2 linked regions of the Canis lupus familiaris genome follow. The protein of the gene in region 2 interacts with the protein of the main gene of each other region in a biochemical or structural test. Links are inferred from orthologs where the notes say so. Each region holds a gene or a part of one and is shown on either strand. Other genes may lie near its edges. The genes, in order: MITF and PIAS3.

What was found.
Region 1: the proteins of PIAS3 (region 2) and MITF form a complex in vitro, tested with the Homo sapiens proteins (2 studies listed by BioGRID). The link is inferred for Canis lupus familiaris from reciprocal best matches to the Homo sapiens genes PIAS3 and MITF.

What each region holds. Positions count from the first base shown.
Region 1 is NC_049241.1:22,007,930-22,014,843, forward strand, and holds part of MITF (microphthalmia-associated transcription factor), read right to left. Parts: intron 1,989-6,914; coding exon 1,871-1,988; intron 1-1,870. UniProt on the Homo sapiens protein: Transcription factor that acts as a master regulator of melanocyte survival and differentiation as well as melanosome biogenesis.
Region 2 is NC_049238.1:59,313,657-59,321,066, forward strand, and holds the start of PIAS3 (E3 SUMO-protein ligase PIAS3), read right to left. Parts: upstream 4,269-7,410; 5' UTR 4,191-4,268; coding exon 4,167-4,190; intron 3,622-4,166; exon of another isoform or gene 2,986-3,621; intron 2,273-2,985; coding exon 1,855-2,272; intron 1,707-1,854; coding exon 1,622-1,706; intron 1,383-1,621; coding exon 1,332-1,382; intron 1,082-1,331; coding exon 991-1,081; intron 476-990; coding exon 341-475; intron 110-340; coding exon 4-109; intron 1-3. UniProt on the Homo sapiens protein: Functions as an E3-type small ubiquitin-like modifier (SUMO) ligase, stabilizing the interaction between UBE2I and the substrate, and as a SUMO-tethering factor.

The sequences.
Region 1 (6,914 bases), on a different chromosome or scaffold from region 2:
GGTCAAGGCTATCCAGTGAACTTCACTGCCATTTTGTAGTTTTACCCATATCCTCCCCAAGGCAGTAGACTCTTGGCCTTGGGGAGGAGGGCTCTTCCTCAAGCTTAGATAAACCCTCTGCAGCCTCAGGGTATTCTTCAGTATTCATCCTCTCTGAGTAGCTATGTGCCTGCTCATGGTTAACAATTCTTTATCTTTAACCTCCCCTGTTCAAATCATGGTGCCCTCTGCTTCCTGACTAGAGGGAAAATCACTTAATAAAGATCATTTCTTATCCCTTAGGTCAGATCTGAGTCCTAAACTTATTCTCTTTGGCTACATCATGCTGTCTCTCAGCTAGCAGTGTTCAGAACCCCAATTCCTGTCCATTTTCTCCTTTTCTTGGCATTTTACCCTTTTCCTGTCTCAAGTGGTCATTTTCTAAGATACAAAGTGATTCTAGAAGTGTATAGCTCATTATATCTGCTTCTTTTTTTAAAAAAATAATAAATTTATACCCTCTTACTCATTTCTCTCATTCTCACCCCCTGCCTCTGTTGTTTTTTAAGAAATAATCATACACATAACTCAAAAGTCTACTTTGGGGGGTGCCTGGGTGGCTCCATTAGTTAAGTATCCGACTCCTGGTTTTGGCTCAGGTCATGATCTTGGGGTTATGAGATCTAGCCCTGCATCAGGCTCCCTGCTCAGCTCAGACTCTGCTTGAGATTCTCTCCCTCTCCCTTTCCCTCCCTCTCTGCTCCCTCTCCACTCGCACTCTCTCTAAAATAAATAACTTCTTTTTAATTCTAAAAAAAAAAAAGGTCTGCTTTGCATTTAAGTCATAAGAATTTTGTTCATATCACACTAACCATATTTTATCATTATTGAGTACAGACCTCATATAGCATTATTTTGTAAGACTTCGTGATATTTTTCTTTCCAGGTAAAGTACCTACTTTTGTTGACTTTCAATGGGTTTTACATATCAATTAATTTATTACCTCTTAACCTAAATCAATGTTTTTTTTTAAATGGTCTTTCTCTTGCCATTATCTTCTGAAGTATTTTTTTTAAAAGACACACTTGAACAAACAGGAATTTTTTGCCCCAAATATATATCTCATATTCTTAGACTGTTCATTCACCTAATCCTACAAGATGCAAGGACCAGACATTAAAAAGGGGGATGAGGTGAGGGCCATAAACTCAGTATGGTAGAATGTCAGTTCTAATGTAGTTTTGTCATGTTTTAATGGCCAAATGCCTTCCCTAAAGCATTAAACAAAATGGCAAAATAGGTAATTTCTCAGTGCCTCAGGAACAAACAATATCCATCACTCCATTTTATAATCTTATTTTTTTTTTACTCTGTGTAATAAAGCTTTTGCACATGATGTAGCAAAAATAACAGGAGGCCTCCGAAGATGGAAGAGACTCATTCCTACTCTATCTTGACAACTGCGGGCTTAAATGCAGGTCAAAGAAAATTCCAGACCAGGGTTCTCAAACTGGAATGCCTCTAGGGGCTTGGCAAGCAACACAAACACCAGACTGTGTAGAGACATTTTTTAGGTAAAAGTGTTGCCTGCTGCTCCACCTCAAAGGGGACAGCAGCCAAAGACGCCACGATGGGTGTCATGGAATAATAATGGTGCTTTGGAGTGACAGCAGATCCAACTCCCAGTATCTCAAGAAAAACTGGCAACCAGGATTTCCAAGTATAAATCCTTCATCTTAAAATATTGCTCGATACTTTCACCACAGCACCGACCTAAAAAAAAGTATGTCTACAAATTGGGAATAGTCTAGAGGTCACAACTTTGATAACCTCACTTGTCAGAAAATAAACAGAAAATCCCCAGGAAGAGGCACACTTGCCAGTATTTACCTGTGAGCTCCCTTTTTATGTTGGGAAGGTTGGCTGGACAGGAGTTGCTGATGGTGAGGCCTGGGGGAGGCAGGCCTTGGTTGCCATAAAGATCAATCAGATTTCCAGAGACAGGTAACTAGAGAGAGAAGCAATAACAGAAATGAACTACTGAGCAATTCCTAGGTTATTCAGCTAGCACCCAGATCTATTCCAGACTTTATCTAAAAGAAATGGTTTGATGTTAAAAATCATATTTTAAAACAGAAAAGCAAGACATGTTTACCTTTCCACTCACTTAGATAAATGGTGACCTTGACTTGTTCCCTTTGAGAGAAGAAAGGATGCAGAATCCAAGACCCATAAGATGGTTCTACAAGCAGCTAATAGTTATATTTTGAGCATGTAGACAACAAATAATATGGCAAACTCATTATGGAGCACATCCAGCAGCATATAGCAGATGTTTAGTAAATGCTGACTATTACAGTCTAATAGGGTTCTATGTGGCATGGCTTTTTCCACCAAATTAGGTTTCTCGTCAAAGTCACTTTTTTCCTTCTCTCTCTTTCCTTCTCCCTTTTTATCTCTTTTTATAGGGAAAAGGAATGAAAAGTGTTTTCTACTAGAAAAGAAATGGTTTCCTTATTGCTAAAGAAAAGCGCTTTTCCTTGAAACTGAAATCTCTCATAGAACCACAAGAGGGAGCCCACTGACTTTAATAAAACAACAAAAATTTACACTTAAAAAAAAAAAGAAGGGTAAAGAAATATTTAGCCCTCTTGAGCTAGCTTAAGAGTGTTTTTCTCCAGGTCTGAATTGAATATTTTGAAGTAGTGAACTTCTTTCTGTCTCCAATGCTGACTTCCTTTTGTTGTATATGCATTTCCCTGTACCTAGTTCACTGATGGAGTTTAATGCACCCATTTTTGTGAGCATGAGAAGTCCCAGACATTTCTTCTGCCCACCCTCTGAATATTAATTATGAGGGCACAGTTAAGTGACCGCACTGCTGCCAGTGCAGAAGCTCCCTGTTCCCAGCTTAATTCAAACAACTGCTCTAAGTGTTATTACCAAGTAAGACTTAGAGCATTCAGCCCATCCCATCCTTGATTATACACTCTGAGTTTTACTTTACATCTGAGAAAACTCAATCTAGACAGCATTTTCAAGTTGTTTAGTGACCAAGAGGTATTGAGCAGAGATTATACTACATGTCACCTTTCATTTTCTCCAATGGCCACTACCATACAAATAAAAATATCCCGCAGGATAAAGATAATGAATGCGTTTCCCTTCATTGATAGCCTTTGACCACCTATTCTTTTTAAAACATTTATTTATTTATTTATTTATTTATTTATTTATTTATTTATTTATTTATTTATGATAGAGAGAGAGACAGAGACAGAGACAGAGACAGAGAGGCAGAGACACAGGCAGAGGGATAAGCAGGCTCCATGCCAGAAGCCCGAAGTGGGCCTCGATCCCGTGGCTCCAGGATTGCGCCTTGGGCCAAAGGCAGGCGCCAAACCGCTGAGCCACCCAGGGATCCCCTGACCACCTATTCCTAGTGTGGTTTCTAAGTAAGTACTCTATGAACTAAACCCCAAGCTAAAGAGGTGGGAGAGGCCTGTACTTTCTTTCTGACAGATAAACAAGACACTTGCTCTAATATGACTGAGGCTGAGAGCAGGAAGGACAGGCAGATCGACAGAGCATGTCTCTCTCTTATCCATTCAGTCTTTTGCTTCTTTTTGAAGGCAGGATTTATATTATGTATATAAAATGTAATACACATTTCCCACCACACAGATTCACATATAAACAATGCATTGTGACAATTTAAAATGCTCTTGAACCACAATTCAAGGTCCTCTAGCTAAAAACCTGATAAAAAGTGACTTTGATGATTAGCTGTCATTTTACTAAGTGGTTTTATTTGAAGTAGGTCACCTTCCTAGGGTCAATCTTGCTCTGTGTGCAATCAGTTCTACTCTTGTCCAACTTAAGACAGCACAGTGAAAGATGTGCAAATGTCTCAATACAGCGTTGTAAAGAGTGTATTGAGTCAGAGCATCAAAACTTATAAAGCTGCTATGACATCTCATAACCCCTCTGCATTCCAAAGATTTATTCTATCTTTCTGGAGCTCCAGATTTTCAGAGGAACTGCTCAGTATTGAATGTGGCTTCAAAATTCAATGCAACAAGCTAAAAAATATACTTCTATACCCCTAGAAATACAAATCATATCTATAATATTTTCAAATGCAAGCTGCAAGCAAAACAATGCAACTGTGTTGTGATGATGATTTGTTAGGGAAAATTAATAGACAAGAGATACACAGTAAGCTTAAAAAAAAAAAACAAAACCCTTTAAGTCATCTATGGATTTACACTGAACAGACAGATATCTAATTATAAGCTTCTCCAGGGCAAGAACCTGTTTTCTAAACATATTCTAAAGGGGAACGAGGTGCACATATACTTAACAAATGTAGACTCATATGAAGGATGAAGGGAGGGAGGGAGAAATACAGAGAGGGCAAAAGAAACAAAAACTGAGAATAAGAGACAAAGACACAAAGGAATGGGCAGAAACAAAAAAGAGAGACACATGTACACAGAGGAGAGAGGTGGAAAGACAGATGGAGAGACATTCAGGATGCGGTTGGGGAGAAAAAGTACAAGACTGGGGTCACCCAGAGACAAATGGGCTAGGCAGACAAGATTGCTGTGAGTGGCATGGATTGACAGCAGTGCCCGCCAAGAAGGGAGATGAATTTTTTTAAATATTTCACTTATTTATTCATGAGAGACACACACACACACAGAGGCAGAGACACAGGCAAAGGGGAAAGCAGGCTCCATGCAGGGAGCCTGATATGGGACTCGATCCCGGGACTCCAGGATCACGCCCTGAGCCGAAGGCAGATGCTAAACTGCTGAGCCACCCAGGAATCCCTGGAGGGAGATGAATTAAAATCTCTATAACAGGATGCCTTATCAGACACTCCACTAAGATCAGACATCATTACTTCCAGTCCAAAAAGTGGCTTATAACCCTCCACCTACTTCTCTAAAAGATTTCCCGCTTCGGCTGCTTTTCCAATACTTGCTGATTAGCAGCTGGCAGCATACAACCTGCCAGGATATTTTGCTGGGGAACATTATTTTGTGGGCACCTACTCTGGGTCCGGCACAGAACTAGAAAGGCACTTTGTATATGTTGCTTTAATTGATTTTATGAAAGAAAAGCCGTAGTTCTAGCTATGTCTGAATAGAGCTTCGTGGCAGGAGGTTCATATACCATGTTAATAGCAGTATTTGGGAGGCGGTGTCAATCTGCTGATAAACCAAGTAGAAACTGCAATTTTCAATTAATCTCCAACTGGATATAAGCAAATAAAAACCTAGTTGCTCACTAGCCAAGTATGGCTACTCAAACTTAGAAATTATAGTGCAGGCTGCCTTAGGAGCCAGAGAACTCGGTTAAAACCTGCCTGTGTATAACTGACCTGCTGTGTGATACTAACCTTTCTGAGGCATGGTGCCCCCTTTGAAAAGTGGCAATCCTATCACCCATCTCACAGAGTTTTGTGAGAATTAGAGGTCCAGTAGGTGAAACACTGTATTTAAGTGATCAATAGTGCCATGTTCAGTAATATAATTTTCTACAAAGTACTGTATTCCCAGGCTGTTTTAAACCTCAAGCTAACTTCCATGTTGAGCAACTACATGTTAATTATAAGGTATCCTGTCAACCACTGTACCAATTTTACCAGACTGCAATGCAAACCTAAACACAGGAATCAAGGGAACTATTGAGCTGGAGTAACCACCCAGTGTTCAAATCAGGGCTTCTCCATTGTTAGTGGAGGGCATTTGTCAAAATTGTAGAGCCATTTTTGGGTGTCACAACTGGGAGGGGGGGGGGAGTATCACTGACATCTAGTGGGTAGAGGCCACGGAGGCTGCTAAACATCCTTATAATGGGCAGGAAAGCCTCCCAACAAAGAACGACCCATCTCAAATATTAATTATGCTGAAGCTGAGAGACTGCCCTGAAATGGGGCCTTACATTCTTCACACTAATGGCTGTCATTTATTGAAGCTACTAACAGGAAGGTTGATGAAACATGGCTTTCTAATTAAAAACCAGCCATGCATATTTAAGAAAGGATTCTGTGGTTCCCCTTCTGGGTTAGAAAAACTGCCCCATAAACATTATAACTGGGTCAAAGATATTATTTTGATAATAATAATATCTTTGGAGCTAAGAAAGAGGAAGAGGCATCTTCTGCTAACATCGCTATGTCATGTCTTTGCTGGGTTTTTATCCAGCACATTAACCTGATGAGTAAGATTTTAATTGCAGCACACAAGCTGTACAATGGGAAAAAGTCCCAGTCTAACAGGAACACATAAAGAGAAGGTAGACACATGTGGGTCTGTGCCCCAGACTTGGTCTGAATTGAGTTCTTCAATGTTCTGCTCCACCAAAATGAATATTTTTCCAAGTAAATGATCATTGTAAAATGTTATTATTTTTTTCTTTCTGGATGTTCCCCTTCTCTGAATATCAATTGAGCACTGTTAGCACAAGTAAACTGGGACTTTTATTCTTTGTTTGTAATGGTACAAGAGGGCCCTTGTGCTCTCAGAATAGTTATTTCTAGATTCCAATTCCCTTAGGATAGTTTCCTCTCTAAGTGATCCCTCCACTTTATTTTTTTTTAAGAAGTTAACTTGAAATAAAGCATATCGAAGAATCAAATAAAAGGAAAAAAGTGCTTAACATGAAGAACATGAAGTTTAAATTCTTTTGAGAGCGGAAAAAATTAAAATGTTAGTGAATTGTGGTAGCACTGGTATTTATTTTACAACCCAAACCCAAATTTATCAATAAGAACTAGTAATCAATAATTAGTAAAAACATAACAGAATCAAGATTCTTCTAAATGCTTTTATAGATTAACTCTTAAAATCGTCATGTGGATTCTATTGTTTTAGATGCTATTATTATTATTATTCCCATTTTTCCAGATAAAGAAAGTGAGGCA
Region 2 (7,410 bases):
TACTCAGTGCCCGAGAGTGGTCTGGGTTCCGGATACCCTTTGCTCTCAGTTTTTGTAGAAGGGTCCCTGCAGTCAACTGCCTCACCAGGTACACAGACAAGGAATAGTTCTACTTGGAGGTAGGGGGAGACAGTTAGCCTCTGCTCTGCTCCTCGCAGCCACCACCACCACCACCACCACCACCACCACCACCCCAATCCTTTGTCCCATGAGGATCAGAGACAACGGGTTAAGGCAGAAAGACCCATAAAGAGGAAGATGTTTTCCCAACCCAGGACACTGGACGATGCCCCTCACCCCCTGCAGGCTTCTCCAGGCTCCCTGCCCCAGCCCTGCTCACCCGTCCAAACTCAGATGACCAGTTGACCACGATGGTGTTGGGAACAGTGGCTGAGAGTCGAGCCAGAGGTGTGATGTTGATGGGGCGGCTAGGCCTTTTGGGCTCAGCCCCATTCTTGGTAGGAGGAAGGTAACCCTAGGGAAGGGAGGGGCTGGTCAAGACATCTTGTCTCAGGTTACTCACTTCCTGGAAGGAAGACCAGCTCACTCACTGACCAGGGACATGGGGACCCATTCAGTGACTCACAAAACTGAAGCACTATCTAGGGTTGTGTGTGGGGTTCATTCCTGGGGAGAAAGGAGAGCTTATTTATTGACCAGGGAAATAGAAACCCACTCACTGAGCTCCTGAGGAGGAAGAATAGGGTTGCCCCACTACTTCTAACTTTCAGCTCTGAGGTCATCACTTCAGAGAAATCTTCCCTGAACCTTTGGGTTGAACTGATGTGCTTCCTCTGGGTTCTGACAGAACCCTTGTGCATCAACCCTATCTTAGTATCCTCTAGATTGTATCCATCACTCAATACGCTGAGTACCTACTATGTACCAGGCACTGTGCTACACACATCTCTTCATTAATACGTTTGTATTTAACATTTAAGAACTGAAAGAGGGAAGGGGTTACTGCCAGAAGAAGGGAAGAGCATTTACCGGCAGGGGGCACAGTTTCCCATTGACCTTGACAAAGAGGTTGGGGGGAAAATAATCCTCCTGGGGGCAGCTGGTCTCACAGAGACAGAATCTGGTAAGAGAAGAAAAGATGAAAGGGTGGGGGAGGTAGTCTCTTGAGTTGAAGCTGACAGAAAGGCAGGGAACCTCAGTCAGCCAGTCACAGATCTCTGTATCTGTAGCCCTCAGCACCCACAAGAGTCCCAGGGTCAGGGTGGACGTAGCACAGCAGGGCTATCTCCTAGCAGTGTCCGACATACCCTTATTTCATTCCCACCCCCAGTGGAAGCCCAGCAGGGAAGGAGGCGGGAGGATCAACTCACCTGAGCTGCACCTGGATAGTATAGTCACATTTAGCTCCTGGAAGAACCTCTCTATGACAGGGAGGAGAGGGAAACATGTCAGGATGTGGCCCCCAGAGGGCCAGGCTGAATAGACAGAGAAACAGTTACGTGTCCCAGAGATAGAGAAGAGATGCACAAGAGAATGAGAGATGACACAGGTGCAGAAGGATGGACAGGCAGGAGACGAGGACAGACGAGAAGAAAGGCAGAGAGCAGAGTCCCGGGATAACCACCCCAGGTCAGAGGTAGGAGGGTGGGAAGAGAGGTACCTGGATGTGAGAATCTGCTGCACTTGCTGGGGTGTGAGGGCAAACGTAAAGTGTGCCTCTTCAAACCGCTGGCTAGAAGTGGACGCTGAGGATACAAAGGAGCAGTTACTCCTGAGCCCATGACAGGCAGCCACAGACGCTACCCCCATCCCAGGCCACTGATCCCACAGGACTAAAGCCCAAGGCTTGGGCAAGAGGTAAGATTCAGGAAGATGGAGGAGGCAGAGCCATACCGAGGGTGGTGGGCCGGATGAGCTCCCCATAGACTTCATAGAAGGGCAATGGTTTCATGGTAACATCAGGGTGCACAGGCTGGGGCAGAGGAGGGTGCATGTCCACCTCACGCTTGGGGCCCAGCAGCGTGCCAGGGGCCAAGAGGGCAGGGGGAATGGGAGTAAGAGGGCCAGGGGAGCCGACAGGAGGGGGGCCAGGGGGCAGAGAGAGGAGGGAGAGATCAGAGGGGCCCAGGGTCTTCCGGGGAAAGCGTCGGCGATAAAGCTCCTTGATCTTCATCTGGACGCTGGGGGCACAGCTGGACTTGAGCAGGTGCAGGGCCTTGGCCAGGAGTTCGTGCTTTCGTCCACTCTTGTTCCGGCCAGCAAAGCCCAGCAGAACCTGAAGCTCAGACACCCGGAAGCTCATCACCATGTGCTGCAGAGAACAGAGACATTTGAGAATACTGCCAAAGAGGCAGTGCCTCCCCCGCCCCCCTCCCCAAGAGAAATATGCTTTGCAGCCAGTGATTACAGCCGGACAGCCAATCTGGCCAAAGGGACATCTCAGTCCCATTCAGCAGCCCTCAGGTCAACCTTACCACTGCCCCCCCCCCAGAGCCTGAGTAACCCTATCTCCCCGTGCCTGTAAGCTGGCCAGGTGGGGCAGGGTGCAGGCAGCAAGCCATCCACAGGCACACCTCCGAGTCCACTGTGGCCTCCTACTTCCAACCCTGCCTTGAGCCTAGACGCTCCTTTAAGCAGCTTATCTCCTCTCCTGCCCTTTCTCAGACTCTCAGACCCAACCCAGCCTCCTGGAAAGAGGGTAGGAGACAGGGAGAAGGAGGGGGAGAAGAGGAATCAGGCCAGACAGCCCCACAGGGAAGAAAGGGGGCAGGTGGCCAGAGGATTGTGCACCATGGCACACCCCTCCCAACACTTCAAGCCACCTCAGCTATTTTCCCCAAGCCTCTGAAGCGTCTGTGGCCAGGGTTTTCAGGTCAGGGTTCAATGCTTGTAACTTCCCCCCAAATCCTTTGTAAGCATCAACACCTTTCCCTCAGTCCTATTCTTCTAGGAGATAAGCGACCAAAACTTGGGGCAAAGGGGTTCATAGTAAATCACCCAGTCCAGGGTTACTTTCTTGTTTACCTGTTTACTCCATCTGCCAGGAACTAATATCCTGTTTCTCTCCTACATAGAGAAAATAAGTAATCCCCCCCCCCCCCATAGCCGTGGGAGAGGAGAGGGCTAAGCTGTAAGCAGGGGCCCTGGGGAGATGAGAAGGCTGGGGCGCCTTCCCAGCCTGGGGGCAGACCTGCAAGTTCTCCTGGGGCAGCTGGACCCAGGGACTAGCCCGCCAAAGACTACGGCTCCATTTCAAAAGGCAGAACAAAGCCAGGAGGCAGGGGGATGAACCCAGTGGTTTTTTTAAGGTTCTGTGAGATGTCCTCCGATAGGGGTACCCTCAAGCCTGTGTGGCAGTAGGCGGGCACCACACGCTCGCTCTCTCGCAAAAGGACACCCTCCGTGACTCCCCGGGAGCCCTGTCACGGGCGGGCTCTGCCAGCCGTCCACGAGTCGCCCCCTCCCAGGAGCCTCCCTGGCTTCGGGCCCCTTTTGAGGAATGCGGTGAAAAACTGGCCCATCTACCTTTCTCCCACCCTCATTTCCTCTGTCCGGTTTTCAGTTCTCCGTTAGCTTTGTCAAGAACGTCCCCTTTCCATCCCACAGCCTCACACTCCTGTACCTAAGCCCAAAGACCGATCCACCAGGGCAGCGGCTTCCTCGCCGCCCTCGAACCCGCAGCCCGCGCGGCCCCGCCCCCGGGATCTCCGCCGCCCGCGGTGCTCCCGAGGCTCGGAAGCCCGCGGCAGCCCCAGAGCTGCCATCCCCTCGGCGGCACCGCGCGGGCGCCTCCGCACCTCTGCCCGCGTCCCAGCCCCGCATCTGCCCCCTACTGTCGCGTCTCGCGGCCTCGGTGACTCGCCCCCCGCGCCCCCGCGGCAGCTGGGACCTCGGCCTTCCTCGGGCACCCGCCCCGACCACCGAGTCCGACCCGTACCCCCGCGTCCCCGCCCCCTGCGCCTCGGCCCCCGACAGCGGCAATTCCCCTCGGCCCCACCCCTGCATCTGCCCCGCGGCCCCGCCCCCGAGCCCGTGGCAGCCCGGTCCGCTCCCGCCGCCGCTCGGCTCCCGCTCGGGCAGCCGGTCTCCGCCACGTCTCCGCGCCCCCCGCCCCCGCCGAGCCCTCGGCACCCGGGCTCGGTCGCCTCCCAGACTCGGCGTTCCGCGGGCGCAGTCCACACGGGGCTGGGGGAGGGGGCCGGTACCTTTAACTCGCCCAGCTCCGCCATCTTGAGACATCGCCGGCGCCCGAGCCCGAGCCCGAGCCCAGGCCCAGGGACCGGCGCGCAACTCCCCACCCCGGCGCCCGCCGCAAAGGCCGCCTGCTCCGCCCCGCCCGGCCCCTGCGCCTCCCCTCCCGGCCCCGCCCGCCCGGCTCCGGACAGGCCCCGGCCTCGGCCCCTCCCTCCGCCCGACCCAGCCCCTGCGCGGCTCCGGCTGGGGTGCCAGAGCGGAGGGTCCCCGGGGGTGAGGAAGGGGAGGCGGGCCCGCAGCGCCCGAGGGAGGGCTCTGCCACGCCGGGACTGGGAGGGGGTGAGCTTTTAGAGAGCCAGAGACACTTGAAATACGGGGGGAAAGTAGCGAGAACTGCTCAATCTTAGAGAAATGGGGGAGGGGTGGCGAAGTTGGAGCAGACACCGTCATCTCCTCCTCGACGAGTTTAACCAGCTCAAGTCAAGAGTTCTACCAACTCGGGGAACGGGTGAGATCTGACCCGCTTCGGAGAAGCTGTGCAGTGGTGACGGTCAGGACGGCTGCTCTCGATTCCTCGCCCCCCACCCCCACCCCCACCCCCACCCCCACCCCCCTCCCGGCCAACCAACTACAGTGCTGCCTGGGGTCCCGCGGCAGGACTCAAACTCCGCAGCAAAAAAGTTTGGTGCGACGAGCGGGACTTACCAGCACAGCTGCGGGGAGCGGGGAGGGGGCTCGGGAGGCTCGGAGGGTGGGCCGGGGAGGTGGGGGGGCTGCAAGGCTGGAGGTCGGTCGGTCCGGCAGCTGGACGCTGCAGCGGCAGCTCCGCCCGGACGCGAGCTCCGCCCGGCCCGGCGCTGGGGCTGGGGCCGCCCCCTCCGGGTGAGCCCGCCAGGACCGCGGAGGCGGGGGCGGGGGCGGGGGCGGGGTCGGAAGCGGGGAGGGGAGGGGCTCCGAGACCCGCGCCCGGAGCTTAACTCCTTGAAAGGGTGCGTGAGCCAACGGGTGGGAAGGGAGGACGTTCTGGGGACTCAACCTGCTCACTGTTGCTCCGGCCCCTTGCGCTGCTCTGCCCGCCCGGCGCGATCATGCTGCGAGGAAGGCCGGGCCGACTGGGATTTGGCCGCCTGAAGAGGTTCCTACTTGGAACGAGACTCCTCTCCCTGGGGGAAAGCCTGGGCTGCTAGAATCTAAAGTGGACCTAAGCCCCAAGTCTCCCTGTGGTCCCTCACCCCCTACCCCAAATACTCAGACCGTCGCCGGAGACCCCACGCCTTTGGTGGGGCTGAAGGTGAACAGAGGGGAGGTTTTCTTCCCAAAACAGTCGTCTTTCTGCCCGTCTATGAATTGCCTACTTTTCTTCCAAAGCCTTTGCCCTTCCAGAGACCCCATTCTCTTTAAAATAGGGATCCCTGGGTGGCGCAGCGGCTTGGCGCCTGCCTTTGGCCCGGGGCGCAATCCTGGAGACCCAGGATCGAATCCCACGTCGGGATCCCGGTGCATGGAGCCTGCTTCTCTCTCTGCCTCTCTCTCTCTCTCTCTCTCTCTCTCTCTCTCTATATCATAAATAAAAGATAATAATAAAATATATATATTTACTTATTCATGAAAGACAGACACAGAGGGAAAAGCAGGCTTCCTGCCGGGAGCCTTATGCGAGACTAGACTCGATTCCCGGGGTCGCAGGATCATGACCTGAACTGAAGACAGATGTTCAACCACTGAGCCACCCAGGCATCCCCAGAGAGGCCATTCTCAACCAGGCTGATCACTCACATGCAGGTACCAATTCAAGCACCAAAATTAGGGCAGTTTACCCAAACTACATACTGGAAAAACTCAGCATTTTAGGTTAGTTGGCTGGGACCTAAGCCATTATGTCATTTGTTCAACAAACATTTGAATGCTGTTCAGAGATTGTTAGGTGCTGAGGAGATAAAAAGCTTTTCAGGAGCTCTTGGTCTAGCAGTGGCAGCAAGACAGTTAAACCTATAATTGGCATTAAAATAATAATAAATAACATGAATAACCCTCTCATATAGCTTAAACCTTCAGTATAATCCTTCCCATGAGACCCTACCCAAGCCACAAGAATGAAGGTACCAGCCTAGCAACCTCCTCAGATACCTGTTGAATTGGACCATGACCAACTACTTTGTGGATTTTGTCCATAGGGAAGATGTGTACCCTCTCCTGACACTCAGGTTCTTTCCCTGTTGCTATACTCCCTACTCCCAGGTAAGACCAAGCTAAACTCAAGCTCAAGTATTTGATTCTAAGTCTTAGCTGCCAGAGTGTCTAGGTGGCATAGTTGGTTAAGTCTCTGCCTTTGGTTCAGGTCAGGGTCCTGGGATCAAGCCCTGCAGTAGGCTCACTGCTCAGCAGGGCGTGTGCTTCTGCTGCTCCCCCTACTTGTTCTCTCTGTCAAATAAACAAAATCTAAAAAAAAAAAAAAAAAAATACCAACTGCCCCTTCCAACACTTGAGTTTTCATCAGGCCCAGAGCTTGTTTTTTGTTGTTGTTGTTGTTGTTGTTGTTGTTGTTGTGTTCAGTCCTCTAGGTCAAAAGTTACTATGAATTAGTTTGTATATCTCATAGAAATTTCAGTGATTTGGAGAGAAGGACGATTGAGAGGATAAAAAAAGAGAAGGGGGGATTCTTTGGGAGTGATAGATAAGTTCATTATCTTTTTATTAAAAAAAGATTTCATTTACTTATTTGAGAGAGAGAGAGCACGAGAAGGGAGCAGAGGCAGAGAGAGAGAGGGAGAAGCAGGCTCCCGGCTAAGCAGGGAGTCCATGTGGGGCTCAATCTCAGGACCCCAGGATCTTGGCTTGAGCTGAAGGAGGATGCTTAGCTGACTGAGCCACCCAGGGGCCCCAGATATGTTTGTTGTGTGATGGTTTTATGGGTATATACATATGTCAGAACTTACCAAACTGTACACTTTTAAATACATGCATTTATTGAATGTCAATTATTCTAACTCATTAAAGCTGTAAAAATGTAAAAGTAAAAAAAGAATGTCAACCTCAGCTTGAATCCTAATGGTTTTGTAAAGGAGGGCTCTTTTTTTTTTTAAGATTTTATTTATTTATTCATGAGAGACACACAGAGAGAGAGGCAGAGACATAGGCAGAGGGAGAAGCAGGCTCCTCTCAGGAAGCCCAATGCGGAACTCGATCCCAGGACCCCAGGATCACCACCTTAGCCAAAGGCAGATACTCAACCACTGAGCCACCCAGGCACCCCAA